4 linked regions of the Drosophila melanogaster genome follow. Changing the gene in region 3 together with the main gene of any one other region gives a genetic interaction. Each region holds a gene or a part of one and is shown on either strand. Other genes may lie near its edges.

What was found.
Region 1: of orb (region 3) and Pabp2, changing one suppresses a phenotype caused by changing the other (phenotypic suppression), as found in Drosophila melanogaster (one study listed by BioGRID).
Region 2: of orb (region 3) and rin, changing one enhances a phenotype caused by changing the other (phenotypic enhancement), as found in Drosophila melanogaster (one study listed by BioGRID).
Region 4: of orb (region 3) and CkIIbeta, changing one enhances a phenotype caused by changing the other (phenotypic enhancement), as found in Drosophila melanogaster (one study listed by BioGRID).

What each region holds. Positions count from the first base shown.
Region 1 is NT_033778.4:8,128,383-8,136,160, forward strand, and holds Pabp2 (Pabp2), read left to right. Parts: upstream 1-3,048; 5' UTR 3,049-3,341; intron 3,342-3,538; 5' UTR 3,539-3,651; coding exon 3,652-3,750; intron 3,751-4,007; coding exon 4,008-4,409; intron 4,410-4,559; coding exon 4,560-4,693; intron 4,694-4,758; coding exon 4,759-4,798; 3' UTR 4,799-4,826; exon of another isoform or gene 4,827-5,095; intron 5,096-5,232; 3' UTR 5,233-5,992; downstream 5,993-7,778. Other genes in the region: Socs44A (suppressor of cytokine signaling at 44A), read left to right, coding at 1-413; Pbp49 (PSEA-binding protein 49kD), read right to left, coding at 1,113-2,246; CG42516 (uncharacterized protein), read right to left, coding at 2,310-2,762; Obp44a (Odorant-binding protein 44a), read right to left, coding at 6,128-6,514, 6,585-6,629. UniProt on the Drosophila melanogaster protein: Involved in the 3'-end formation of mRNA precursors (pre-mRNA) by the addition of a poly(A) tail of 200-250 nt to the upstream cleavage product.
Region 2 is NT_033777.3:13,644,271-13,651,576, forward strand, and holds the start of rin (rasputin), read left to right. Parts: upstream 1-2,733; 5' UTR 2,734-2,930; exon of another isoform or gene 2,931-2,999; intron 3,000-3,112; exon of another isoform or gene 3,113-3,276; intron 3,277-4,551; exon of another isoform or gene 4,552-4,647; 5' UTR 4,648-4,798; coding exon 4,799-6,227; intron 6,228-6,538; coding exon 6,539-6,789; intron 6,790-6,903; coding exon 6,904-7,296; 3' UTR 7,297-7,306. Other genes in the region: sqd (squid), read right to left, coding at 1,483-1,649.
Region 3 is NT_033777.3:23,275,373-23,282,808, reverse strand, and holds the start of orb (oo18 RNA-binding protein), read left to right. Parts: upstream 1-1,952; 5' UTR 1,953-2,378; intron 2,379-3,250; 5' UTR 3,251-3,732; coding exon 3,733-3,750; intron 3,751-7,436. Other genes in the region: Cdc16 (cell division cycle 16), read right to left, coding at 1-125, 195-452, 512-794, 849-1,359, 1,423-1,518.
Region 4 is NC_004354.4:11,789,256-11,796,453, forward strand, and holds the start of CkIIbeta (casein kinase II beta subunit), read left to right. Parts: upstream 1-3,277; 5' UTR 3,278-3,431; intron 3,432-3,458; exon of another isoform or gene 3,459-3,490; intron 3,491-3,623; exon of another isoform or gene 3,624-4,024; intron 4,025-4,187; 5' UTR 4,188-4,191; coding exon 4,192-4,263; intron 4,264-4,542; coding exon 4,543-4,645; intron 4,646-4,718; coding exon 4,719-4,910; intron 4,911-5,563; coding exon 5,564-5,753; intron 5,754-5,849; coding exon 5,850-5,931; intron 5,932-6,345; coding exon of another isoform or gene 6,346-6,354; exon of another isoform or gene 6,355-6,476; coding exon of another isoform or gene 6,477-6,539; exon of another isoform or gene 6,540-7,198. Other genes in the region: karl, read left to right, coding at 1,603-1,740, 1,806-1,929, 2,103-2,476. UniProt on the Drosophila melanogaster protein: Participates in Wnt signaling. Plays a complex role in regulating the basal catalytic activity of the alpha subunit.

The sequences.
Region 1 (7,778 bases), on a different chromosome or scaffold from region 3:
AGCCGACTGGGTCGTTTCTAGTCCGCGACTCGGAAACCAGCGGATCCCAATTCACGCTCAGCTTTCGGATTGTGAACGTAACCCTGCATTATCGACTGGAATATCGCGACAATTTTTGGCACTTCGAGGAACTTAAGTACGAGTCCATTGTCGAGATGATCGAAGATATCTTGCACCGCTGCACCAACGACAACTTTGTGTGCTTTGTGAAGGTTCCCAACGAGATGCAGCCACCGTTTCCAGTGATCCTCAAGTACCCGTTGAGCCGGTACTCCAACATGCCCAAGCTGCAGGACTTATGCCGCCGTGTTCTGCAGCGCCAGATGTCTCGCGAACAGCTGGCCCAGTTGCCAGTGCCGGCGCAGATGCTGGAGTACTTGTCGGTGGAGCGGGAGCTGGTCTTCCAGAGTTAGGCAACCGCCGCCCGCCGTCGAGAAGCCGCTGGTCAAAGCTTTAACACTGAAGTAAACGCAAGCGCGTACACCAAAGAGGTCCGGGCGAATGGAATCCCAGCCTGCAGTTGTTCGTAATGATATTTGTTGGTCGGATTGGCAATATGTTGTTGATGCATTTCTACGCCCCAGTAACTAAGCGCACAGTCTCTCTTCACGTGCACGCCGGAATCCCAGTGCACAGAATTTTACTGTATTGTACTGCTAAGTACGGTTAGTACTAGTATCTTGTCTAGGATAATGTATTATGTTATTTGCCATATTTAGTCTATTGGTTTGTTTTATATGGGTCCTGGTCAAGTCTATACTCTGCACCACAGTGTGCAAATCCTTAAGCAAATTTTTAAACATTGAACTACTGCATATATGTATTAACGTAAGTTCTAAGCCAGATGTATCGTACTATTTACGTTGTTTGCATTTTTGTATTCCTAACTTGGACACTAACTTTTTGCTAATCTAGATTGCATGGAATTTAGGCAGCTTTACGGCAATCGAATACGTTCAATGCCAATTACTCTTGTTGCAACGTGTATGTATTTTATTTAAATCTATCTATGAATATTTTACAAGAACAAAATATCAATCAACTCCTTGAGCGATCTTGCAGTCAAAGGAGCTCGCAAATAAAGAAAAAATCACACAAATGTATATGTATATTCAGGAGGGGAGATTTTGCTGTTTAATGTCCTCCTCTTCGCCCTCCAGCTCTACATGGTCATACATGCGATAGGCTTTGAACTGGCCCAGCTTGACACCATCCACGTAAAAGAAGCTGAGAAAACATCTGCGGCACAGGTAGGAGGGATCGTGCAGCTGTCGCCGGGACTGGTTCACGATGAAGCTATAGCTGCGAATGCCGCACATATAGCAAGTCCTGCGATTAAACGTACTGAAGGCGTGAGGATAGGGATACAGGCTGCGATCTGGCCGTTTACTAAGTGGCGTTAGCACCTCTACCTGGGAGATCACAAACAGGTGTTCGCAATTGCCGTGGTGCAGGTAGTGTAGCGGTGATCCGGGGCTGACAGTGAGATCGATGAATCTTTTGCCCTCCATACTCTCCACCTTAAGCGTTTCTCCGTTCACTCCGTTCGCTCTGGCAGCCCACTGCAAGACGGTCTTGGAATAGTCGGGATTGTCCGGATTGCGCTGGTCGTTGTAGAATGTGTCGTTGATGAAGAAGTAACCGGGATTTGTGTCAATGGATGGCAACGGTGCATCTGGATCGTCGCTGATGTCGACAAACCGTTTTCCATTGCAAACGCAGCTGATCTTGTCCCGCAGCTCGGTCAGATAATTGCTGCCCAGACATACGAACTCCTCGGCGAAAACGGGAATCTCCACCTTAAACCCGCGATGGTAGGCCCGCGGTGGTCGATATAGACGCACGGTTAGCTCCAGTTCGCCGCAAGCATCGATGTGCAGGTTAGGCGAGTCTGTCGGCGTCGGATTCAGTTTGTGGCTGTACTGGGTGCGGCCAAAGGGACACTTACGGGACTTGTCCTTGTGCTGGCTTAGAGCAGTAAAAGTGGAGGGCACATGCTGGTTCTCCTGCGGCGGAGAAAAGGTTGGGCGGCATTTGTCTGCGGCGGGCTGGAAGACTGCAATCGAGCTGTCGTCTGGGGACTCGATCAAGTCCAGGGAACAGCTTTCAGACACGTCGACAAGTACTGGGTTTTTTTGGAGAAAGAAGGGCACTTCGTCTGCAGTACCGGATATTTTCTTTTGATAGTCGGCTAGAAAGTCTCGCAGGCTTAAAGCTGGATTCGTTGTAATATAGGTGGTATCCATGGTACTAAGAGGTATGTCTTGAAAGAGTGTTTTTTGTTCAGGATTAGACTCAGTTCTCCACACTCAATGATCTTCTCCAAACTTGTTAATAGCCTCCTTGTAAGTTATATTTAGCTTCAGAGATTCTGGCTTTGGCTCGGTCTGATCGTCCTCTTCAGTCTCAGCCGACTTCTCCACCTCCTGGTGCAAATTGTCCACGTAGACCCTTTCAAAAGATATCACCTTGGTGGATTTGTCCACGTACTGGTACCGCTGGCGACACACTGACTCAAAAAGCGGATCACTTGCCAGATTGTCTTTTTCCTTCTCAAAGAACACGTTGGTTCCCACGGAATGTTCGTAGCGTCCCCGATAAATGCTTCCATTTACCTCGGCCATGGGCGTGTCACTCTCGATTCCGATGATCTTAATGGCCGCGTCCTCGTGCTTCAGCTGGTGCGGATGAATGTGGTTCTTGAAATCCGCAAATACCAGGTACTCTGTGTCCTCGTACTCCGAATCGGAGGAATCGTTCATGTTCTCCTTTTATCGTTATGCATGGGCCCTGATTGATGGTTGAATGATGGCGTTATTTCGCAATATATGACTTCCTTAAACAATAATTTGTCTGATTCCCATTTACAAAACCTTGTTAGAAATGTGCGTGCACATTCCTCTTCTTTCCTTCCTATGGTAAATTTAAAATGGCATTGTGGTGTGAAAATACTATTATTTTTATCATCCAAAGAACTGCTTTCTTAAATACCGGCAGTTATCGATAGGTAAACCCACCACCAAACCATCGAAACTATCGAGGCGAAAACTGTCATCGGTAAAAACGAGGCGAACACAAATCTGTTTCAATTTGTGTCAAAAACTACGTACGTTTTCGTATAGTTGTAAATATTAGTAAATAATAAATAAATAAGCTTATAAATAAATATTTATGCTGACGTGGTGTGGCGCGAAACAAAGTCGAAAAGGGTTTAAAAACGTAGACTTTTGAACGAAAAACAGCAACCCAGCAACCCAGCGTACGTGTGTTTTCACAGGGCAGCCATTTTGGGCGAACTCAACGTCAGCAGAACGAGCTCGTAATTTGTACATTTATTAAACGTAAGTACAGTGTGTTTAATTAAATATCAGTGTAGTAGTGCGAACGCAGTGAAACCTAGACATTTCGGTGTCCGCAGCCTGAATTTATTTACTTATGGCTTGGATTTTCACTGCATTTGCATGATGAACTCTTCATTCGCGCTCTTAATGTTTTACGCTCTTTATGCTCACTTTCGCCGCCCTTTTCTCATTGACAGCTACCATACATACATAGTTACGACAACTGCCGTTTTGAGTACCACGCCGGAAGCTTTTGCGCCAACAAAACCGAGCTTTTGTAGCAGACGTAAACAAACCCAAATCCAAAGCAATGGCCGATGAAGATATCACATTGAACGAGGATCAGCTCCTGGAGTCATTGGAGGAGACGAACGGGGAGCAAGAGACTGAGATCGCCACAGAGGTCGAGGTGAGTTGGGGTTGCCCTTGTAGACAGTGCCCAAGAACCAGTTTCTTGGCCTCACGCCTTGCGAAAGCCCGCCGAATTCCCTGGAAAAGCTCGCAAAGCTTTGGGGGATATACAAAGCCGAAAACCGCAGCAATGGCTGCCATTTTCAGAGCGTCACTTCGCACCGCCACTCCATTCCATTGTCTGCTGTGGTTTCGGGCGTTTGCTCATCGCTCCAAATCAAATACCACTAAATTTCATATTTTCCTCGTCGCCAGGAGGAGGGCAGCATGCAAATCGACCCGGAACTGGAGGCCATAAAGGCTCGAGTCAAGGAGATGGAAGAGGAGGCCGAGAAGATAAAGCAGATGCAGTCGGAGGTGGACAAACAAATGGCCGGTGGGTCTACCACCGGCTTGGCCACAGTCCCGCTTTCTCTTGAGGAGAAGCAGGAAATCGACACGCGGTCCGTCTACGTGGGCAATGTGGACTACGGCGCATCGGCCGAGGAACTGGAGGCCCACTTCCACGGATGCGGCACAATCAACCGAGTAACCATACTCTGCAACAAGGCTGACGGGCACCCCAAGGGATTCGCATACATTGAGTTTGGTTCCAAGGAGTTTGTCGAGACGGCATTGGCCATGAACGAAACCCTCTTCCGAGGGCGTCAAATAAAGGTGAGTATCTGAAGCACTTTTTGCTAGTCCTGCTACCTATCAAACTCTCATGTACATATGTGGATAGAATGAGTCCTAGGGACTCCTACGTAGCGCAATTTTGAAAGCACATATTTAGAGTTGACTTTAGCTTAATCTATTGACTTTCAGGTAATGTCGAAGCGCACAAACCGCCCTGGACTCTCCACCACAAACCGTTTCGCACGCGGCAGCTTCCGGGGTCGAGGAGCCCGTGTCTCCCGGGCGTGCTGTCACTCCACCTTCCGAGGCGCCCGAAGAGCTATGTAAGTGGGCTCTGGAAAATCCCGATTGGATCGAGCTAATCCCGGTCTGTCTTTCGTTCCAGAAGGGGTTACCGTGGTCGCGCCAATTACTACGCTCCTTACTGATTATTGTTTTATTAAAATCCCTAGTAAGGTAAGTTGACAATTTCGAACTGAAAATAATTGATAGTTGAAATTTTATATGTGTGGGTTGCGTCCGATTTATGTCGGTTACATAAAGTAATCCGATATCTATCTCTTATATTTTGATACATTTTTTTTCTTAAAATTTATAAAACCAATGAGGACGTCTTTTTATGTTAAATTTAAGTTGTTAGAAAATGCCGTTTGTTTTTATGGAGCTAAATAGATTTAGTTTGCATAGCTGGTAGATCATTACGGGAAATAAAAACAATCAAATTTATGGTCAAAAACAGAATAATTTTCCGAACCCTTTATGGGAATACCTTGCTCTCATTCGCAGCGTGTTGGGTTTTATTATAATGCTTCCATTCGATTTACCGACTGTCGTCTTTAATCCATTAACTATTTGATTTCAGATTTTTTTACAATATAATTTCAAAAAACATTATTTTATTGCCAAACTTCTTTGCTAAATAAAAAAGAGAAAACAATCGCAACAGAAAACGCCAGAAAAAATATCGTTTCAATAAAAAATGCATCAGCAGCAAGAAAACAGGCGAAAAGAAGAGACCTCGAAAATAATAAAAAATCAACAAGGAAAACGAATATCTTGACTTGGCTATAATGTTTTTTGAAGCACCCAACACCAAACACCCCCTTTTCACACATTTTAATTTTCAATAAAACATCAAAAAAAAAAAAAAGATTATGAAAAACAAGAAGTTGATTTAAAAAACAAAAAAGTATATACAACAATAAGTATATATAAAAGAAGCGCAAAAGAAACCACAAACCCCAAATAAAAGAAGTTAAAAGATGGCAAAAGCAAATAAAGAAGGAAGAAAATATAAAAAAAAAATCAAAAGAACACAAGACTCTTGGGAAAGAAGTAAATCAACAAAATATATAAAAAGTGCGTGTGTAATTTATATATTTAAAAAAAAAATATATAGAGTAAAGAGAAGATAAGAAAAGAAGTTGAATTTACTAAAGCGAAAAAGATGAAGACAAATATAATCGAATTAAATAAGCTATCAATGCCTTTCCTTTGGGCGGGACAAGGTTTTTTGGGATTGAGGATGCGAGTAACAGCTTGATTCCTGCCACCACCAGCAGCCCTACCTCTCTTCCAGCCCTCAGAAATATTGTGAATAATAAAAAGAACATTCTTCATTCAAAAGCACTATTATATGGTTTTATTTCAATCGTAGGATTGCAGAGCCTGAGCGGATTTCAACTCGAAAATGCCGCGTTGCTTGCGTGTTGATTGATCTTTCGCTTCTAGAATTGATGTGGAACTGCGCTGAACTCCTAGTTCTTCTGGACGGCGGCCTGCACGAGGGGCAGGTTCTTGCCAAGGAAACACTTGAAGCCACGGAAGGCCCATTCGTTGGCGGGCGACTTCTGCTCGTTCTTGTCGGCGCACTTCTCGATGTCGGCCTTCAGCGCGGCCTTGTCCTCCTTGCCCTGGCCCAGTTGCGCCACCAGGTTCTCCACCTTGAAGCCCTTGGCCTCATCGAACAGGTCGAATTTGACGAAGATGCACTGGATGTAGTTGCGGGTGATGTCATCGTCGGGATAGTCGAAGGTCTTGTACTTGGCGATCAGGGCCTCGGTCACCTTGCTGCTGGCGGCACACTCCTTGCGCGCGCTCTGCAGATCCTCGGCGGTGCGCAGCTTGTAGTCGGAGGCAGAGGCCTGTCGAGGAGCAAACGGATGAATTTAGATTACTGGCTGCCATCGGCTTCTGTCTCCTTGCAACACTTACCAGACCCAGCAGGGCGCACAGCAGAATAGCAACAGCGTTCTTCATGGTGAATCTTATTTTTTTTGGCTTCTGTGATAGATTGTGTGAGGACTGAATGCTCGCTCGGAGGAAACTGTTGACTGTGGTCTGGGCTGCTCCAGCTTTTATACCTTCGAGCCCCGCTCAATGTGGGTATGTCGCACTCAACTGTGGGGCGATTTTGAGTGTCGCTCAATTGAGTTGCACTCGCCGGCGTAATTTAAATCTCATTATGGAATTTTTTGATAATGTCGAGGTTGTTGAGGAGACGAGAAATTAAGGATTACCTGATATATGAAAATGATATCTAGGATTGAAGAGTTTGCAGGGATACTGGCAATAGAGAAGAGCGGCTATGCCGCTCGGCTTGGTCTTAATGTTAGAATGCAGTATTTGGTTTTTACTACTGTTCAGCAGTAGTAATTTTCTCGATATAATTTTTCTTAGTTTTGTATATACCATTATCATGAAGCAAAAAAATTTTTATTTAAATGGCATTTACTTCTGGTTAAAGAGGATAACAATTATATTGTTTCTTTTTATATGATGAGCTAATTTGATTTTTCTATCCATTACATTAGCATTCCAAGAGAACGCATTACCAAATTTAAATAGAGAACAGGAAGGAAAGATATATATCATTGCACAATTTATATATCAAAACTAAGATTTTATTCCGCATAAAGATCATAGTGAATCAAAATGAACTGTGATTTAATTTCTGCCATTTTCAATTACTTTTCCGACTGTTCGGAATATATATTCGTCGGATTTTTACCAAATTAAAACCAAAATTATATATTGTTTAAAAAATTCCGAAAACCGAACTAAAATACTTTTTGACCAACATTTTTTTCGAATATTCCTAGTGATGCAATGGCCCAAGTCCAATCCGGCCCGTTCCTACTTATATACTACCTGACAAGTATTAGAGAACAAACTTTAATGGTAGTTTCATTTAGATATCTGTAGAACTGAGTTTGCGTAGTAGAACTGGTGGGCATAGCGAAATCCACCTGGCTGCTGATACTGATCATGAATATACGTATATTCTTTATATGCTCGCAAATGTTTCGTCTTTCCGGCCAAAGTCAATATACCTTCTTTTTTTTCTTATTAATAAATATAATTTATACAACAAAGTTTCAAATGGAAATATTATCAGCTGATTCTGAT
Region 2 (7,306 bases), 9.6 Mb from region 3:
ATTTCTTGATAATTTTGTGTGTTGATAGTTCTATATATTGGCTGACTGACTGATTGTTTGTTTGTTTTAGTTTTGGATAGATAAATACCATCAGCATCAGTATCGGCGGAGCGGAGACTTTTGGAGACTGGAGTGTGGAGAGGGTTGCATATCCTCCAAGTATAAGTCCGCCGAATCCGAATCCGAATCCGTAACCGTTTGCCGGGGGCAGGAATACGAATCCAAATCCATATCCGAATCCATATCCGTCTTGAGCATAGCTTAAAACCCTGACCTGGGGCATTTCACTTCTCTCAAAACCTGCCGGAGAGGAACAAGGTTAGTTCGCTCACAAGACAACAGGATAAGCTATGATTTTCGATTTAATTTCTCCATTTCGTCCTTCTTCCTTTACGGGGAATAATCTGCATCTGCTTCGTCAGCGCTGGTTTCGTATTATCGTTTAAATGTACAGTATCGTGTGACTTAAGATTAAACTTAGATATAAAATGATCATAAAGGATGGGCAAATGAAGTGTACGCTAGACCTAAAAACCAAAACGCAGGGGAGCAAACAAGAGGACCATTCTACTTGATCATCATTATCTCTATGCTTTAATCCATCAAAATTATTTATCATTTATAATTTACATTAATTGTTCGTTAAATTAATATTTTGGCGCCTTGGCAACTCCAAACAACGCCGGCTGTCGCTCTCTGAGAGTAAGAGCGCGCAAAAGAGGTGGCGAGCGAGCGAAGCCGGCAAGCAAGAGAATAAGTGAAAACTGCAAAACACGCACACACCTACAGAACAGCGGGCGTTAGGTTGGTATGTATGCCTGTATGCAGCCGCCATTTTGGGTACAAAACTGGAAGAGCACAAAATAACAACGAAATAGCCGAAACAAAGAGTAATGCGAATTAAAAAGAATACACTGACAAATACAAACATAACTTTTTCCAACGTTTTTTTTCGCCACATTTTTTGCAAGTGAAAGGCAACCGTATGATTTGTGTTCGTATGCGTCACAGTGTGTCTGTGGGGCAACGTGGGAAACAAACATAACCTCACAAAGGGGAGAAAATGTGCTCCTAGCTTAAGAAAACTCTGGTTTTCATTGCGGAAAGTGCGTGTGTGTGCAGGGGAAAACGTTGAAAATTTTCCATGTCTCCCGAGACTGTGATGATGCATTTTGGCCCGAAGATTCTATTAATATGACTGAAGTACAGTCGCACCGACACCTCACACACACACACTTAAACACACTCCGACGCACGAGCGCAAGCGAGAGAGAACACAAAAGGGGTCAGACTTCCCCCGCAGAACCCCGTAAAATCCAATGAAACTCGACCAACGACGTTAGCTTTGCATTTACGTAACAGAGTAGGCAATATACACTATGTAGAAGCAGAAAATCTATGGGGGGCACATGATCATCGGTTGCCCGTTGCAAAAATAAAAAAGAACAAAAAAAAAACGTATCCGCCGGATAATGGACATACCTGTCGTCGTCCCGCTGGCCGGATGCGGCCGATTGGTTGTCCGAACTGCCGTTGGTCGAGCCGGCGGCGCCCGCATCACCATTTTCAGATCCCGGACCGTCGGCAGTCACGTCCTTGGTGAAATCCTCGCCGTTTATTTCTGTATCCACTTGCTTGTTCTCGGCCATTTTGTGTGTTTTCGACTGATCTACTAATTTCGGGGGCTAGGCAGCACGATATTCGTTTTTTACGCAGAGCCGGAGATTTTTATACACACTCGCCAAAAAGTCGCGCGTACGAATGAAATGACGACCGGAAAATGATAAATGCAAACGACAGCGTGTGTATATGGGTGCGGCGTTGCCACCTTGATGTTTTCCCAGTCAAGTCGATTTGGTATTATTTTGGTAAATATTTGTATTGTATTTGCTTGCTCTACCTGGAGATTGTTAGCTATACATTTGCCAAGGATTAAATTGGGATTTTCTGTACGATACCACCCCAAATAAGCCTATATAAGGAGCTAAATGGGCGCGTGACTTGTCTGCTTGCAGTATGGCAGCTTTGATTTATACAATGTACACACACCTATGAAGAGAAAATGAAAAGAATACCAAAAATTTTATACAAATATTTTAAAGCCCAGTTTACACAATGGACAAGTTACTTGGTTTATAAATTCATTTTAGTTGTATTAAAGGTTTAAATATTTAAATAAATATTAAGTATTTCATAAACATTTATAATTTTATAAATATAAAAAATACAATGTTCATTATTTACTATGTGTTGGGAACGAAAACAACATTTACATACAAAGAATTGTTTAAAATCGAATTTTCATATTAACTTCTTATAGGCTGAAACATCAACAATATTTTAAATCATTTAATTGGTTTATATTAAATATTTTTATTTTTTGCAAAAATTTATACAATTTTCATATTCGGATTTCCCAACAGGTTATAATATAACGTTATTATGGTTTTTATTTATTTGCTATATAAAATGTTTCCTTTAAAGAAAGGTGTTTCATGAGCTTACTCAAAAAATCGGAAATGGCTAAAATGAAAATAAGTTTTATAAAACTATTTAAAAGAAACTTAGCGCCCCTAAAATGAGCTTAATTGAGCTCAAATATGAAAATATCAAATTCATCAAAATATTCTATGGAACATACTAGATTAACCACCCCAAAAAAAGAAGTGTGTGCACACCCTTGGAAAAGCCGCCATCATTCACACACCAACACACGCGAAACCAAGAATAAAACTGTGCAGAGGCAAAAAAGAGGAAAAGAGGAACGAACGTCGGTTCTCTTCTCGATTCAACACACTTGTCCAATTTCATTGCGTTTGCGATTATTTTCTACTCAAAAGCCACAACATATGCATCGTAACTTAATTCAACAACAACTGTGATCGCCAAACATCAGAAAGCAACAAAAAATACACGTCAAGAATTGCCAAGTTAGTTATTCTCAAAAAAAAAGACAAAAAGAATTGCAACAAACTAGACTAGTGTGTGTGTGTGAGCGAGTGAGTGCATTGGTGTGTGTGGCTGTGTGTTTTGTGTGCAGCTTGCAATTTTATACTGCATTTCATACGTTTCGACTATCGTTTTGTAAATTAAAAAAACCGCATAATTTCAGCGCTCCACTAAGAAATCCAACTCTCCCCGCCCCCCGCAGGAAGATAACAAAGAAAAGTGCTACAAAAAGTGCCGATTTTTCGGCAAACTTCAACCCAAAAGCAATACACACTGTGCATTACAAAAAGGAAAAATAAAAACGAGGAAAAATATCGCTTAAAAAAGGTGAGCCGGCGACGGCCTCGTGTGCGCGGTCTAGAAAAACTAGCATTTTCCATTTTCAAAGGGGTGGCGCATACTAGGAAAAAATCAACATAAAAAATGCTAAATGGGCGTATATTTTATTATTGCGGCAGGGCTCTATCTCTTAAATTTTTTTTTTTACCATTTTAGCGGCTTTTTTTATTATCGCTTGTGCATAACCTAAAAATGTACGAAAAATTTTGTTTTTGTACATTTTTGTTTAAATGCTGCTCTTCAACTATAGCTTTCTTTGTTCTTCCTACACACGCGGTTCGCAAGCAGAAATAGAGTGGGAAAGAGAGAACCCGAAAGAGCGGCGCGTTCATAACCGAATATGTGTGCGTGTGGGTTTGCCGCAACTCATTGTGCATTTTTTGTTTTATCGGCAAATGTTTATGGCTAAAATGGGGCAAAGGACACCTGCAAACATTGATATTTACTTACACCTTTTAACGCTATTTCAAGTGTTTTTGCAAGGCAGCAATTTGATATTTTGGCCAAGCTGGAGTTCATTGTATGCGGCGCCACAACCTTGAGACCCGAACATAACCTCAATTTAATTCATGCTCCTCGCTTGGCGGCTTCTTTTTTTTCTTTGCCAAATTGTATGAGGTCATTTACTCGCGCACACACACACACGTGCAAAGTTCAGTCAGCCAGGATCGCAGGCATAAAAGCTGGAGCACGTGCAGGGTTAAATGTCCTGCGACGGCAAGCAAATTGGAATTTTTCCTGACAGCTGCACTACACCAAATTTCCCCTTTTCGCATGTGCAAATGTGTGTGGGCCCCAAAAGTGGGTCAAACTGCAGCGCGCTGCGTCTGTTTTATATGCACTGCGGTAAAATGAGCTCCCTGTTTTGGGTGTACAAACCTCCCCCCCTCCCCGCCGTCCTTGTGACCAAGCGAAACTCTAGATCCTTATTGGAGAGCACAGCAGGGGTCAACACTTTGGTAGTCAGTCACATTTCTCTAGAAATTTATGTAAAAGAAGCACAGATTGATTTAATGGACAGTCTGAAAATCCAATTAAATTTGTTTCTTATATTTGCGTGTTTTACCGTTATCAAGCCTTAATTCTCCAAATTAAATTTACACGTGATGAAATTAACTGATAACACAACTAGTGATTCATTATGGTTTCTATACTTTTACCGGCACAGGTATGAATAAGCCATCTTTGAACACCTTTTGGAGATTGTAAGAAACAGGGTAGCAGCTTCCTTTAATTTCAAATTATCAGATTGAAAAATCTACACAGTCGTCTAGGACTTTTGCCAACTTTTCTTTTTTTTTATTAAAAAAACCAGACAGATTTTCATAGTGCGCGTATATTTTTTGCACTATTTCGCAGACGTTCCCACACTCTCAATCGACACAGATCAGCCACCGTGTCGATAGATCCGAGCAGCAGCTAGAAAGAAGGGAAGCAGAAATTGGAAGCGGAGACAAAGAATCCGAGTCGAAGAGTCCGTAGTTCAGAGAGGAAGAATCAAACGCCAGCTATGGTCATGGATGCGACCCAATCGCAGCAGCCTTCGCCGCAATCTGTGGGACGCGAGTTTGTCCGCCAGTACTACACGCTGTTGAACAAGGCGCCCAACCACTTGCATCGCTTCTATAACCACAACTCGTCGTACATCCATGGAGAGTCCAAGCTGGTGGTCGGTCAGCGGGAGATCCACAACCGAATCCAGCAGCTGAACTTCAACGATTGCCACGCGAAGATCAGCCAGGTTGATGCCCAGGCCACTTTGGGCAACGGTGTGGTGGTTCAGGTCACCGGGGAGCTATCCAATGATGGCCAGCCGATGCGGCGTTTTACCCAGACGTTCGTTCTGGCCGCTCAGTCGCCGAAGAAGTACTACGTGCACAACGACATCTTCCGCTATCAGGATCTCTACATCGAGGACGAGCAGGATGGCGAGTCGCGATCGGAGAACGATGAGGAGCACGATGTGCAGGTCGTCGGTGGCACTGTGGATCAAGCTGTGCAGGTGGCCGGCGATGTAGTTGCCCAGCAGCCGCAGCAACAGCAGGCTCCTCCGCAGCCACAGGCTCAGGTCGTGGTGCCCCAGCAGGTAGCTCCTGTAGCGGCCGGTGGTGCTGCCCCACAGCAGATCTTCTACCCATTGCCAGCGGGTGCTGCCGCCGGACGTCCTGTGGCTGTTTTGCCACCAGCTCCGCAAGCCGCTGCTGTTCCACTGCCCGCGCAGTTCACCGTTCCGCCGCCACAGCCCATCCAGAACGGTGTGGTGTCGCACGAGGAGCTGCAGCAGCAGCAGGTGCTGGTCCCACCCAGCGTGTCTCCCCTGGTACAGCAGCAGCAGCCGACCGGCACGCCTGTGTTGCCCATTGTTCCAGTGCCAAGCGCGGGCTTCCAACAGTCGCCACTGGTGGCACCACAGCTCATCCAGCAGCAGCAGCAGCAGCAACCGGCACAGCTGCCCCCGCAGCAGCAGCAGCAGCAGCAACCTATCCAGCAGCAGCAGCCTTTGCAACAGCAGCAACAACCGCTGGCTGAGCCCGAGGAAGTGGAGGTGGCGCCAAGGCAGCAGAAGCCTCCCACGCCCGTCGAGGATTTCAAGACCATTCACGAGCAGCAGCAGCAGGAGAAGTACGAGGCCGCCAAGCAGCAGCAGAATGAGCCCAAGACGTACGCGAATCTCTTCAAGTCCACGTCCTCCTCGCCCAGCGGCTTTGTGAACGCCGCACTGCAGCAGCAGCAACAGCTCCAGCAGCAACAGCAGCAGCAGCAGTCCATCAGCAGCAACACCTATAACTCTTCCTCGGCAACCTCGGGTGGCGGTAATGGCAGTCAGGTTAGCTACTCCACCACCGCTTCGTCGTACAACAACAGCAACGGCAACTCGCGACTGGACAACGGTGGCCCGCTGCCGCAGCGAAACAACTCGATCCGCAACAACAAGGGTGGTAAGTTCATCGTTCCACCCTTAAATTAAAAGGGGTCATTCCCCTCTATTCGGCTTCAGGGTAAAAAGACTAAAAGATGTAGTGCAAACTTTTGGATCTCATGTAGAAATGAAAACAGTGGTTTCTAAGAATTACTTTTTTAGTCCCCTTATAATTTATTATGATTGGCTTACGTTCAGATTTTTAGAAAGGTAATGATTCATTTTGTTGGTTTACTTTCTTATCAACTTAAGGTTGGCTTATATGATAAGCAAAATTGGGTACCGCTTTTTAGAAACTCTTCCTAATAACTTGCTGTTTATACTTTACAGACTTTGAGCAGCGTCGCTCGAGCAACACGCAGCAGTTCGGTGATAATCAGCAGCTGTTTTTGGGCAATATACCGCACCACGCCAGCGAGGATGATCTGCGCGAGATCTTCTCACGCTTCGGAAATGTCCTGGAGCTGCGCATTTTGTCCAAGGCTGGCAACAAGGTGCCACCAGGCATGCGCAGTCCGCTGAACTACGGATTCATTACCTACGACGATCCTGAGGCGGTGCAAAAGTGCCTGGCGAACTGCGTAAGTTAAGCAGAAAGTAGATTTAATTATTGGAATTGCTAAGGTATCTCTTTTATCTCCTTACTTTTACTGTGATCAGAAAGGTTATCTAAACATATTCTTTCCATTTCATAGCCCCTATACTTCCCGGAGAACTCACCCGATGGCCAGAAGTTGAATGTGGAGGAGAAGAAGCCGCGTGTCCGCAACGACATGGTGCCGCGCCAGCAGATCGGTGGCAACAACCTGAACAACAACATGGGCCGTTTGGGCGGCAACAATGGTCCGCAGTCGCGTCCGATGGGCAACAACAATGGCAGCGGCGGTGGCATGATGCGCAACAATGCCGGTGGCAACAATCTGCGCCAGGGCGGCGGCGGAGGAAACGGTGCTCCTCGCCTGGGAGGCGGCGGTGGATTCGGACAGCGCCAGGATAACCGCACCGGTGGCGGCAACAACCAGTCTAACGGACCGCTGCGCGGTGCCGGAAATGGACAGAGTGGTGGTGGCAACTACGGACGTCGCTAAGGGAATTGTC
Region 3 (7,436 bases):
TGTCCGGATAACGGTCCACCAGCTTATGGGCTACGTAAAATAGCCGATTAAAGTCGCCGTTTTCCACCAGACAGGCAATCTGAATGGTCAGTGCAGTGTTATGAAAGGGATCCACCTTAAGGAGTCTATATATGATAAGCAAAACCAAATACATTTTTGATCAATATAAGTCTTTTACGCCGTTCTTCACTTACTCATTGAGTATTTTCAGGCACTGTTTGTAGTCGCAGTCGTAGAAACACTTCTCCGCCTCAGCGGCCATTAGGTCAGTACTACGTTGTACCCGATCAAGACATTCAGCGATAGGAATTAATGTGTCCGTGTCATGATCACGCGATCGCCTCCTACTGGATGAGTCAAACATGGACCGGTGAGAAGCATCAATGAGGGAAGAAGCCTTTGAGAGACTAGTTTGTAGGGAAAATGTGGGCGCCTTTAGATCTTCCAGGACTCTTAAAGATACAACTTCAATAAGAATGCGCTAAATATTAGAAATATCAGGAGAACTGACTTCTGTGCGGGCGACATGAACTGGCTGGGCGTAAGCGGCACCTTGACGGCGCTCACCTTGGGCATTTGTGTGTCTGACGACCCGCTCTGCTGCACTCGAGCTGTAAATTCCTTGATAAACTGGAGTATGTCAGGATTAACAATGGGGGACATCTCCTCAGCATTGCGTGCGGAAATCAACTCGTAGTACTTCTTCAGGCGAGATTCATAAAGTTTTAGTATAAACTTGGCATCAGCTTCGCTGGATTGTTGTGCCAGCGGTAAATGATGCATTAGCTCAAACTCTGCAATGATTAAGTTGAGATTATACTGTATTCAGAAAGTAGGTGCATGCTCACCTTCCCAAGCCATCAGCATTTCGTGTTGAACCAGCGCCTCCAGGGCCTCAAAGCAGTATATGGATTTGTGAAGGGCCTGAACATAGAAGTCCATTGCCATGCCGCGATTGTCCAGGGCCTCATAAACTTTGCCCTTCATTAGGTAAATGGATGAGAGCAGTTCATTTCTGTGATTCTCCTCGCCACCAAAGACACTGTTGCTTTCCAGATAGCAGCCACTGCTTGCATCAACGGGCTGGTTGATCAGCGATGTGGTCATGACTTCCACCTCCACATTCTGGATGACATTGGCCGCCTCGGTAAACTCCTTGGCCGCATAGAGACTTTCCAGTAGTAGGTTAAAACATGGCAGTGAATTCTTCTCTAGCTTGTGATGCTGTATTGTGTGAGCAGCACGATGGTATTCCCCCAGTAGGTACATGCACTGCGCCTGGTAGTAAATATCCCTGGGTTCCAGGCCACCAAGCACGGCCACCTTTTCTGCCCAAAAAAGCGCTGTGGAGTAGCGACGCTAAAAATGCAATTGAATTTGCACTCAGGCTCTGCTTGCCGGCTTTTGGTTTTTTTGTCTTACCATGTCTATGAATTGTTTGACCAGCTGCCGGTACAAGGCCAGGTCGATGTGTTCATTGGTGGTGTCAGTGCTTGTGTTTTCCGTGTCCCCGGGCATTTTTATTAACGCAGAATTGTATTTTTGTTATAAATTTGATACAAGTTTTCCGCCGCTGGTAATAACTCATTTGAACATAGTGGCAACTCTGTGCAAAACAGCTGTATTGTTGCCATTCACTGGAAACAGTTGTTTACGCCAGTGAAAAAAATTTGGTTGCTGTTAATGCTTTACCAATAAGTAATAAAATTAATGGAAATATAAAAATTATTTTAAAACCAAAACTTTAAATGAAAATACAAATTAAATAAATTATTTAAATAGTTCAGCCATTTGTGCGAATTTTAATGACTGTTTCTTTTTTTGTCGAGGAATCGTCGAACACAAGTTGTTTCAAACAAATGAGCGCTTTTAAGTTCAAGAGAGCGGTTGCATGCGGTTGGTTCGACAGAGCCAGGCGAAAAAGGTTATTTAAGCAGCGTTGCACGCCGTGGCGTGGCCATAATATCAAAAAATCCCGACTAAAATTCCAAAATAAAAGATATCACGGGATGATAATTTAGTTTGTTCTATTAATTTGTATTGCCGCGGCAGGGTCCGCTCAAATTTAAGGCTCAATTTTAAATTCGAGTTAATGTGGTGCCATACCACAGTCGCAAAGATTTTCAACAATCAAAATAGTTTAATAGTAAAAAATGCGTCCGTGAGTGAGTAGTTTGGCGAAACAGCATCGGAAGGAGAAACGGAAAACGGCGAAGGGCGTGCAAAGCAGAAGTAACGGTTCCTGGCGGCGTGTGTGCGAGTGTGTGTAAAAATGTGCTTGGTGGACGACAAAAGAAACGGGATGCGATTGCAAGTGCGGAATTAAAATAAAATTCACACGAATTTATGCGCCATCCGCGTGTTTTTGCGAGTCCTGGGTATGTATTGGTGTATCAGTGTTAGCCGGCACTAGAAATTGTTGACCGAAAAATGGTGCAGTTCAAATTAGTTGGTAACAAGAAGGTGAAGAAAAACAGGGCAGCGGCTCATTTTTCGTTCTCTCATTCTCGACGTGCGTATTTTACAACTTTACAACTACACACTACTATTATGTGCCGTTGGTCCTGTTTTTTTTTCTGTTGCCTTTGGCTCACGTCATCTCTCCAAAAACTACGGCAATCAATCGCCGCCTTGGCCACACAGAGGAAATGAAGCTGGAATTGCGCGGGGTCTTAATTCGTTAATAAAATGTAAGGTGTGCACAATAATAGATTTTTGGATTGTCCGGTATCAATTGAAAAGAAATATGAATAACAGTGCAATTCATGAAAGTATAGCAATTTTTCTTTCTGTGTGCACACTTATTCTTACTACCCATTATTCTACGCACAGAGCGCGAGAGTGAGATGGAGAGAGTAGAGAAAGGGCGAGACAGGGCTTGGCCCCATCTCCATCTCCATTTTACAACTCCAACTTCGCTGCCACTGCTCATTTCATGCTGATTTATGGCTCTAATAATAGGTTCGCTCAACACACAGCTTCCGAAAGGATTACCACCCGAAAGGATAATGCATAGTTTGTGTTATTGGCGGCCATAAAAGCCCCCTTTAAAGTAAACGACCCTGGATTACAGTTAATTACAGTTAGCCGGGACAGTGTCATAGAGAGTAGGAGAGAGAGGGATACGCCTTGATCGATTTACGGCATTTAACGCTCAAGTGCGTACGCGTGTGTTTTCTTTAAACTCCACTGATTTGGAAACTACAAAGAAGAGTACTCTTATAATTAATTCATGCTTATGATATTTCAGGCCTTTGGAAATTTGCATCGTTGACGAGGCGGAATGAATCGATGACTATTTGCTGCTGATACGGCCACATCTGCCAGCTGTCTTGGTTCGCCTTCGCCCCTCTCGCTCGCTCAGTCGCGTTATCCTGTGGAGCTCCAATAAACAACAACAAAAACCAGATTCCTTGCCCGAGGCTCGGCATCCAATTCAAACTCCAACCAGATCCAACACGAACTTGGACTCGAACCGCAGCGAACTCCAACCGAAAGGCCTGCGCAGGAGTGAAAGAGAGAGGGCGAGAGAGACGGTGCGCGAACGGGCTCTCCGCCGGCAGTGGGAGTGGGAAAGGGAAGGTACGAGAGGCGGAAGTGGTGACATCTGTTTTGCCGCTTTGTCAGTTGGCGGATGCTGCTCCTGCCGAACACGAACGAACGCGAACGAGCACGAACGAACAAGGAGCGCAACGTGAACAAGTGTGGAAATTGGAATTTTTATTCAAAACAATGCCCCTGCTGCAACAGGTATGTAAATAATAATAAAACCCATTCGCACTCCAGAGCGGTAATTGAAACGCTCACGTACGAATAAAGTCGGCTAGAGAGAAAGAGGGAGAGAGAGAACGACCGAGCGAGTGAGAGAGCTCTACATCAGCTGGCTTTTTCAGTTCATCTTCCCAATTGGGATTCGTGAGTGGCTGGCCCGGGATGATCCTAATAAGATTAGTGCCCAACTTTACGCCTACACTTCTGAGAGTTTTTCAAACCACCCCACCACCCACTGAAACAGCCCCATCCGCCAACGTCTGTTGCACATTATGAGTAGTTAAATTCGATTAAACTTGCGGCGTTTTCTGCGCCAGACACCACTGCGCCTCCTTTTCGTCCTTTTTGCCGCCGGGTGGGCTTTTAATTGTACTCTTTGTTGCGCAAAATAGTTGCGTGATTTAATTTTGCTCGCCTTTATATGTTTTTTAATTCACTTAAATGAGATGATTCGATTAGGACACTGAGCGGTACAGAAAAAGCGCAGAGAGCAAATGGAAGCATTGGAATAGCGGATAAAAAACAGAGCTAAAGTTGTTGGGCACGCTTTACAACTGCCATTAGTATCCAGATTTTTATGTCTTTAAAGATTCGTAAAAGTTTGTCTAATAATCTTAAAACTCCAGTGACAGTACAAGCAGACAGCTATTAGCCTCTTATGGCTCAAAATATTACATGTCCCTTCCTGAGTTTTTCTTTATCCTCTGGAAAATTAATTATCCTGCCTGACAATCCGCTTCATATCAATACACATCAAAATTATGTCAGTTGCGGCAATTGCCCTTCACCCCCAAATGTGAATTACATGTAATGATTACAATATCCTTTATGCTGATACGCACATGCTAACCAACCCGACGACTCGGCTCATGCCCCCGCCGACCCCAGACTTGATTTAAGCGATCCTAAAGCGACTGTCAATATGTGTGACAGGTTTTTTAAGACGCTTTCCCTCCTCGGCGGAGCACTTGGTCCCATTGTTGGCTACGCGGCCCGTTTGTATCCTTGCCACGTCTTCCGCCTTTGGAAAAAGTTGCTCATTGTCGACTGTGACAGGAGACCCGGACCCGTCTATTGCTCATCATTCAGGCATTTGACGACAGACGACGCACAGGGGTTGAGGAAAAGCCGCCTTGACTACGTCAATGGATTGGGGATGGCTTTCAAAGAGGCGGAGATGGAAACAGAGGTGGAGGATGAAGGATGGAGGTTGGTTCTGTGCTGCATCCATGGCCCGAGTTGGCTGACAATGGAGCTGCGCATTTGTTACAATGTTTACACAAATATTTAAGGATAATCCGACGATTTCAAAGGGGTTATTATGCAATTTTTCTTCTCATTTTATTGTGGCTGCCAGCGGCGGCAGCAAAATGGTAGAAAAAAAAGATCAAAATATAGACCCAACTGAATAACTAAATGCAAAATGTCAATTTCGTCGTGTAAGCAGTGTCTATACCCCCCCCCCCCTTCCCTTGCCGTATTGCTATACATTCATATTTATTTGCTGGTAATGTCTAAAATGCGTCTACTTCTTGCCAACGTGGCGTGTTCTTAATGTCCTGCTTTCCGTATTATTTATATTTTTTGCACTCATTTCCATTGCGGCATTGCCTGCTGTTTAAAATGCCTATAAATAATGGTGGGGGCCACAGCGGAAAATTTGTCGGTCATAAGAAATGCTGTACATTTTATTTGCCATTTTAAGCCGTAGGATGTGTGATGTCATGCTCTGCAAAAGTCCATATCCTGCTGTAACATCGTTTCGTACAAAATTTTCCTTTATTGTCCTTGCACCAACGTCTTGGTTCACTGTCCAAGTGCAGGTCAGTCCATATCAATGACACCGGGATTTTGTGTAGCAATATGTCTGGCATTAAAACTTGCCAACATTACTGTATTGTGCATAATTAATCATAGAACCTTACTATTAAATTAGATCTATGCTCGTGGGGGTAAACTATGCTTAAAGCAAACTAAACTATCTGCTTTACCTGTTGATTACACACGCCCATAAATATTACACTAATAGTATAATTAAGTGAATGCTTGGCCGTTTTCCCTAAACGACTGCCTGCAATTGCCAGTTATTAGCCGGCTCAAATTTGATTGCCAGCGGGCAAATCATTGGCATTATTCAAACCCAAACTCGAGTGAATGCTCAAGAGAGGGCGGCAATCATTTCGAGCAAATCATTGTGCTGGGCGATGGTGTGGCATTAACAGTTGGTTATGTACACTTAAGTATATGCCGCAGGCCAACTTGGTATGTCCAGGCCGCCATAGCCTGCCATTTTCACTCCCACTACCCAATAGTACGGCTCCAGCTTCTGGTTCTGGTTCTGATCCTTGGCAGACTATTGGAATGTCTCGACATTTCGCGCAAATGCCAAAAGTACAAGGCGGCCAAGGCGTCCTCCAACAATGCGGTGGCAGCAGCCCCAGGGCACATCATTAAAATGTCGATACCAAGCAAATCACACGCCCGCCGCCAGCGAGAAGGATAACAACCAAGAAAATATCAACCAGGGTGCGTTGCGTTTGTTGCACTGCCGCGTTTTGTGGATTGGGTAGTGGTGCTTGGTATTAGGGCGTAGCCCATTGCAATATGAGCCTGTGGCATTTAACAAAAATGAGAAAGGAATAATACAAAAAAAAAAAATAAATAAAAGAAGAGTGCGGAAAATGGGAGAAAAAATGGAAAACTGAAAACAGAAAACGAGTGCAAAATTCAATTGAATTTACTTCGCCAGACGTTGCACACACTACTGGGCTCAACTAGCATTTAATGCATTGGCAGTGGTGCGGCATGCGTGATTGTGATGCGGCACCGCCGACACCGCCCATCGTCCGACGACACCCACTCACCCCTTTGTGACCCCCTGAACTCCGGCTGATGCACACCATTATTGTGGTTGAGCGGATGACGAAAGGTGGCCTGGTCGAGAGGGTATCAGGCCTTTTGGCCAATGGAATGAGCCCGAGGATGCGTGATGAGGGGACAGAAGGGGCTGGTGGGTTGGCGGTGGCGGTGGCATACACACACAATGCTGTTGCGTTATCATTAAAAGCGAACCAAAATGCGGCAAAAGAAAATAGAAGCAAACAGCAATGAGCAACAGCAACATCCAGTCGGAGCACCAACAACACCAGCAACAAGCAACAATAAAAGGCAAACCACAAAAGGGCAGCATCCAGTTGGAGTCGCCTCTTGTTTTCTATATCCTCGCAAAGGTTCCCAGCGCAACTCTGTGCAGCGTTTTTGAAACGTCCGTGATGGAGCAGTTTTGTCCTTGCGAACTGCAGGCTACAGATAATCTCTGTCGTCAAAACTTGTCATGAAATAAGGATCTAGTCTACGGGACATGTATGAAACTCTCAAAAAATATTAAAATGAAACCATTACATCAGGTTTCAGCATAAAATACTTTTAAATAGGTACTTTGTATAAAATTCTGTTTAGAATGACTAGGACTTGTTGAATTAATGTATTAATCAGTTAAAGCGTAGCATACTTAGAAGGGCATGATGAAGAAATATGAACTAATCAAAATTATATTTTTAATGCTAAGGCATCAGACATTCGAGATGATTACTCGGCAGTTTTGAAACTGTATTGTATTTCTGTTTTTTAAATAGGCCCGGAAAAGTTGTACCTTTTCGCCTCGT
Region 4 (7,198 bases), on a different chromosome or scaffold from region 3:
CTTAGAGAAAATAACAACACTTGTTTCAAACCAACCAACCAGATATTAAGGTCACCTTCGGGCGATGAATTTGGCTAAGCGAATAGAACGGCAGACAGTCGAGGCAATCCATTAGATAGTCGGACGCAGGTGCAGTTTTGGATGTACAGGTTCCCGTCCCTGGTCACGTCCCCGGCCTCTTCTAACTGGATCACTTTCTTTGGCAACGCTTCGATTCGATTTCATTCTAAGCACAGCCGCCGGAGGAGGAAAGCATCTCAAATCCAAGCCCAAAAGCGAGTCAAACTCAAAGGCTCATCAATATGCCGGGCGCACTGTGACACATTTCAAGTCGCTAGTGATGGCACCATCTAGTTAGCTGGTACAAAAAAAAAAATAGCGCCTACAGTCGAACTTCCTTAAATCAAACGACTCTGTGGCAATAGCTATGAATTCTAACCTCAAAGATAGTATAATATTCGGTTATAATAGTACTATGGGTCTTATAATAGACTTTCCTGTGTCCTGCCCCACTGGAAATCATCCAACGATTGACGGGAACGTTCCATCTCTAGCGAATAGAATGAATGGGACATAAAGCGAGCGCAGAAAGAGCCAGGCAGAAGAAATGGGCTCACACCGATGCCAAAATCAATCACACTTTCTAAGTGGCTCAGACGTCGTCTGAGTCTTGTCTTGTCTTCTCTTCTCTTCTCTGCCCGTCCCCTTTCTTCTCACTCCCCTCTCTTCATCGTCTGCATCTCCGTTGGCGGCGACAATTGCACTTTGATGCAGGTGCAGTTCGACAAATACTGCTACGAATACAAACACCGAAAAGCGAGCCAAAAGTCAGAAAACAATCAGCAATAATAGACAAAAGACACGCACGTAGAGACCCGAAGAAAGAGATGGCGGGAAGACAGTGCCGAAAGAGGGGGTGCAGTGAAAAGGGGATAAGGGGGGGGGGGGGGGCACATGCGGTGCAATGCGCTTTTGAGGCGCATCAATCAGAGGCTGTCTTGCGTCTGCATCTCGTGTCTGCGCGTCGCGACTTGCAAAACAGCGAAAGAGACGGCAACAGCGGTGCAGAGAGAGGGACGGCCATACTGACTTCTCAATGAACTGTCAGTAGTCAATCACGGTGACAGCGCTAACGGCTTTCGTCGTCTGTCGCTTCTTCGACTCTTTCACCAACCGAAGTTTGTTTTGTTTTGTGGTCGCCAGGGCAAACAATGTAAATACACACATGCAGCTAGCTAAGTTGAATTGGGATTATAGCCAAGATGCATTTGTGGTCTTAACGTTTATTGGGCATATTTATTAGCAGCCCTGACCTCTCAAATATCATAATAATGATCGTACACCAGGGTTTTTAAATACCCATTAAAAAGCACGACTGTCTCAAGAGTTATTATAAATATAAGATATGTATGTGAATCTTAACCAGAAACCCTCGCTGTCTAATGTATATATATATAGGTAATAGAAAAAAACTCCTATCATAAAGTATAATAGATCTTTATCATTATAGATTACATTATATATTATATTATACAACATTATAAAGACCTCCTCTAAATTACTTACATATCTAACTTATTATGGAACTAATTTTCCGTTTAGGTGGGAGCCATTAAGAACTTCGATTTGGAGCGCATGATGGGCTGTTGGCACGTGGTTCAGTATTACGCATCCACAGAGGAACTTCCGGAGTACGCGTGCATGCGCAGTCACTTTTCCTTTTCCAAAGAGGATCAGCATGTGAGTGGCAGCAAGGACCTTTATCCCTATTACAAATTATACCTCAATACCTCAATTTAAATTAGATAACGATGAACTTTAGCTACATATTTGCGGAGGATCCGCTGCGCGAGAAGCTCGTGGGCAACATCACCTGGATGATACCCAAATTCCAAGAGCCAGGACATTGGCAGCACACGGAGGACATATGTGAGTGATGGAAATGTTTCTACAATCAAATTCAAAACGAAAATCTATTCAAAATGTAGTTGTGATACGTTTGAAGTAGTTTGGTAATTACTATGCCAAAGAGTAATTCGATCTGCCCGGGTTTAATATATGTTTTAAGCAGTATTTTCGTTTCTATATGTACCTCCTTGCAGATGAGGGCATCTACAACACATACGTTCTGGACACGGACTACGACACCTGGGGCCTGGTGATGCACTGCGCCGAGAAGAAGAAGCAACCACGTTACCTGTCCGCCCTGCTTTTGTCGCGGAAAACATCGTTGGCCGACAACGAGATCAGCTTTCTGCGCGGCAAGTTGCCGCAGGATATCGACACATCCTTTATGTTTAACATCGGGCAGGAATCGTGCGACAATCTAATGGAATCTAGTCGCGACGATCCACTGGCCTATGTTGTGAATGGACGCAAGAGAGCCAAGGAAATCTTCAAAATTATCAATAAGCCTGACGGCAGAGTGCGCGCTAGTAGCGAAGCGAGAAGCTATGAGCAAAGCGAGAAGCTGTGAGCAAAGCGAGTCGATGGCAGAGTAAGAGCTAAGCGAGAAACGAGCTACATTGCTCTCTTTTAGTTATTAATGTGAACGTGATGGATTCGGACGAGGAATTTTTTGCATCAAGCGCAACTATTAACTTTCTGTTAAAACTGTCGTCCACCCTCTTAACTGAAATAGAAATGAAAAAGGCGAATTCAATAATTTATATAAAAGGTTATTTACAGAATGGAACAAGACAAAACAAAATAACGTGTGTTTTGAAAATAAACGGTAATATAGCGCAGAATATAACAAAACAATCGTACGCCCTGAGCGAGTTGAAGCGATAAGGCCTTGCTCTCGCTTTTTCGCTTAAGCTCGCAACTCGCTTCGCTCTCACTCTGACATCTTTCGAGCGATTGCGCTTAAAATGCATGCAGTGGGTTTATCGCTCGTTCTTGTATTATTAGTCTAATCAATCAACTAAGAGAAAATATTATACGAAAACCCGATTTATTTTGTCAATAATACAAATTTAAATAAGCACTTTCAAACATTTCAAACTTTCAACATAGTGTTACCATACAACTAAACGAAATAATACCTTAAAGTAGTTGTAAGAAAATATTGCTAGCTGCAATCGGTAAATTATTTGACAAATGGCAAAACAGCCAACTAAATGCTGGTAATAAACAATATTTTAATATTTGGCTTGATTTGCTTATTTAACAAATAATTCCGCGTTTTGTTTGGTTAATTGCTTTTCCGAACCAGTGTTGCGAAACGCGCAATCCCGATTAGCCGATACATCGCTTAGCGATGACACGGCGCCACATCGATTGGCAATCGCCTGCGGACAGCGCAGGACAGCGGTAATCGATAGTCGAGATTGCATACCTGATATCATCGTCTTCGCTACAATATTTGCCTTTACCGGTTCAGCTGCAGTACAAAAGTCGATCAATTTGAGTAATTATTAACAATTTGGGTGAGTGCTGGCCACTGGAAGATAGCCGCAGCGGGAAAAATACAGAATAGCAAGTTGGTGTGCGTTGGATTGCGCTCATCGGTGTAAAGGCGTGCGTGTGTGCACGTCCCTATGTGCGCTTCGCGGTGTGCGTGTTTGCTTGTGTGCGTGTGGTGGCCCCTGTATATGTGTCTCTTTTTTTCTCAATTTCCAACAGTGTGTGCTTCTTCTTGCTGCTCGGCACATTTTGTATGAGCGCTTGTCAATTGTCACAATACGAGTATAAAAATTTATTTTTATGCCCCCCGACCACACGAATTTCAACGGTGCGATCACCGAAAACTAGTAACATTGTACAAGCAACGCGAATTAAACGGAAAACCGAAAACAAAAACCCCAAAAGGCCAATCCAACCAAAAAAAAAGAGGAGGAAAGAAGAAAAAAGCGGAAAAAGAGAGTGTGGTTTGTGCGAGCAACAAGAAGCGGAACCAAAAGGAAACGTGAAGAAAGCAGGGGGGGTGGGGTAGACAAGAAAGTGCCAAGATTCCGTTCCAAGATATTTTAACAATAAATTTCGCACGCCAGCCCAAATTACGCAAAATAATCCCCTTAATGTATGTAATAGTGCGTGAGCGTTTGTCCCAGTGTGTGTGCCATGATTGCCTGTGTGTGTGAGAGTGCGGTGTGCATGTGTGGTATGCGTGTGCAGGATAATTTGTCAGCAAAAAAAAAACGATGAAAATATGAATTAGCAACTCCATTCGCTTATCTTTGCAGCAAAATGAGCAGCTCCGAGGAAGTCTCCTGGGTCACCTGGTTCTGTGGACTTCGTGGCAATGAGTTCTTCTGCGAGGTGAGATATCATCATCATATCAGCATCAACGACGAATTACCCGCGTTCTTCGCTGTAATCGCGTTATCTAAGCGCGCGCTATAAGTGCAACAATTGCAAAGTGCAGCCCTCAATCTCTGCCTTTGCGCGCGCGTGTGTGTGTGTGTGTGTGCGTGTGTGCCGCAAGGTGGGGCAATACCGAGCCCAACTGTACACACATGTCCAGATAACACACGATATAGTGGATATATGACAGTATATTCCAGTACAGATCCTAATTGCATACGCTTTTGATTCCAGGTGGATGAGGACTACATACAGGATAAATTCAATTTAACTGGTTTAAATGAGCAGGTACCCAACTATCGGCAAGCGTTGGACATGATCTTGGACTTGGAACCGGGTAAGTTTAGAATGGGCTGTTACCCATATCCAAAATTGTAATGTATATAGCTAATGCGCCTTACCATCCACAGAGGACGAGCTCGAGGACAATCCACTGCAGTCCGACATGACCGAGCAGGCCGCCGAGATGCTCTACGGCCTCATACACGCCAGATATATACTAACAAATCGCGGCATCGCTCAAATGATCGAGAAATATCAAACTGGCGATTTCGGACATTGTCCACGTGTCTACTGTGAAAGTCAGCCCATGCTGCCATTGGGTGCGTAACCAGATCCTTGATCAATCGCTCTTACCTATAGCTAACAAACATAGTTGCGAATCTTTCTGCGCGTAATTGATTGTAATCTAAAAAAAAAAAAAAAAAACAACATATCTACGAGGAACCTCGTGCTTTTCTGCCTAGTAATTACATAGCCAGAAACTATCAACGCGATTATTGGCACAACTTCTAATTGAGTTTCCTGAATAGCATATCATTGGGGCTTTCCCATGAAATCTTACACCAAGAAAAAAACAACGCATTCTTAATAGAAATTCTACCTTAATTGTCTGGCTTGGCTTGCCCTAGTTAAAACCTTCGCAACGCTTCCCGATCTCCAATAAATTCTTACCGAAACTTCCCTAAACGTTGTTAACGATCAAATAAAGCAATGCTGAATCAAATGCATGCACAAATGCAAGATAGGGTTTCACTAAACAAGGTCCCTCAATTTCTGTGAAAATTAACTAGGCCAAAGTGGCTAGACGAGCCTTGTAAACATTTCTGCTATTAATGATAAATGATCATGATGGATATCATGTTGAGTTAAATCAGGTTAAATATGTTTGTACCAGATTTCACCGATGAATTCTGACTTTTTCTAGTTGCTAGTTGCTCTGCCAGTGGTCTAATCCTTTGATTATTATCCTCAGGTCTGTCGGACATCCCCGGCGAGGCAATGGTTAAGACCTATTGCCCCAAGTGCATTGACGTGTACACACCAAAATCGTCGCGTCACCACCATACCGATGGCGCCTATTTCGGCACTGGATTTCCACACATGCTCTTCATGGTGCATCCCGAATATCGTCCCAAGCGTCCTACTAATCAGTTTGTTCCAAGGTAAGATTTATACCCATTACTGTATATGCACATTGTTAATATGCTCTTTTGTTTTATGTGCCCGATACGACGTCAACTTGATCATCACATACATAGGCTATATGGATTTAAAATACACAGCTTAGCTTATCAAATTCAGCTGCAGGCAGCAGCCAATTTTAAAATGCCACTACGAGCGGTAAATTTAAAACTTAATAACTAGCTATTAGTATCCTTTCCACCATTTACCCCACTCTCTCATCTTTTTTTGTTGTATTTTATTTTGGAATCTAAAATTCTATATATTGACTAAAAAAAACACAACGCCACCAAGGGATCATTCAACTACTAAGCATATAAATATATTATATCTTTTTTATTTGTTTTCTCTCCCCACACATACAAAACCACCAAACCAACCACCACCACCACCACAAAAAAAAACCAAACCAAATCAAATCAAACATCCATAAAATCCGATCGACAACCTGAACCTGAATATGATTATGAATACAATCATGTCTCTGCCTGTCTGAATAAAACCAAACATAAAACCAAAATATCGATATATTATCGATCGTTCCAATCGATCGATTCTTAAAATTGGGTGTAGAAAAACTAATAAAATAAATACACCACCAACAACAACAAATACTACAACACAAACACATACGCACGAATACAACAACAAACAATCCATTTAACTGCATGTAAACGAAACAAAAACATAAATTGAAATGATAGTTTACAACGGGAAGACCGATAGACAGCAACACACAACAACAACAACAACAACAGCCACACTGAGAGACGGAGAGACAATTGTATTGAGGTTTTTAAACGCTGGGCGCAAAGTTTCATTTATATAAATATAAAAACTAAAAAAACAACACAAAAAACAAAAACCAACTGCGTTTGTATTTCAAAATGAAAAGAAACAGAAACAGAAGAAATTGTATAACAAAACAAAATAGTTAAAAGGACACACAGCAACACGCATATTTATTTAGAGCCCATAAACATTCAAAACATGAGAAACTTCATGCGATGTTGATTTTTATTTAAAACACTGCAACTTCTTATTAATCTAAACTTCATTCAGAAACATGTATTTATGTTAAATTTGAATGTTACCGCTGAGCAGAATATCCTTCGCATTGAAGTTTAAGTTCAAGGACTACAAGCATAACTCTCAAATACACACACACCCACAAACGCCTACACACACACGCTTATATATATATATATTATTTTCTTCAGTCAATTAACCAATTATGTATGTGTTTTTATATGTTCGTTTCCTCACATTTTATGTATGTATGTATGTTTTGTGTAACATTTTAAGACACAGGCAGTGCAACACTTGACCAAAAAAAGATAAAAAGAAGGAAATAAAACAAACAAAAAGGATACTCGAATTAGACAGAAAAAGAGAGTGTGTGAGAGAGAGAGAGAGAGAGAGTTAG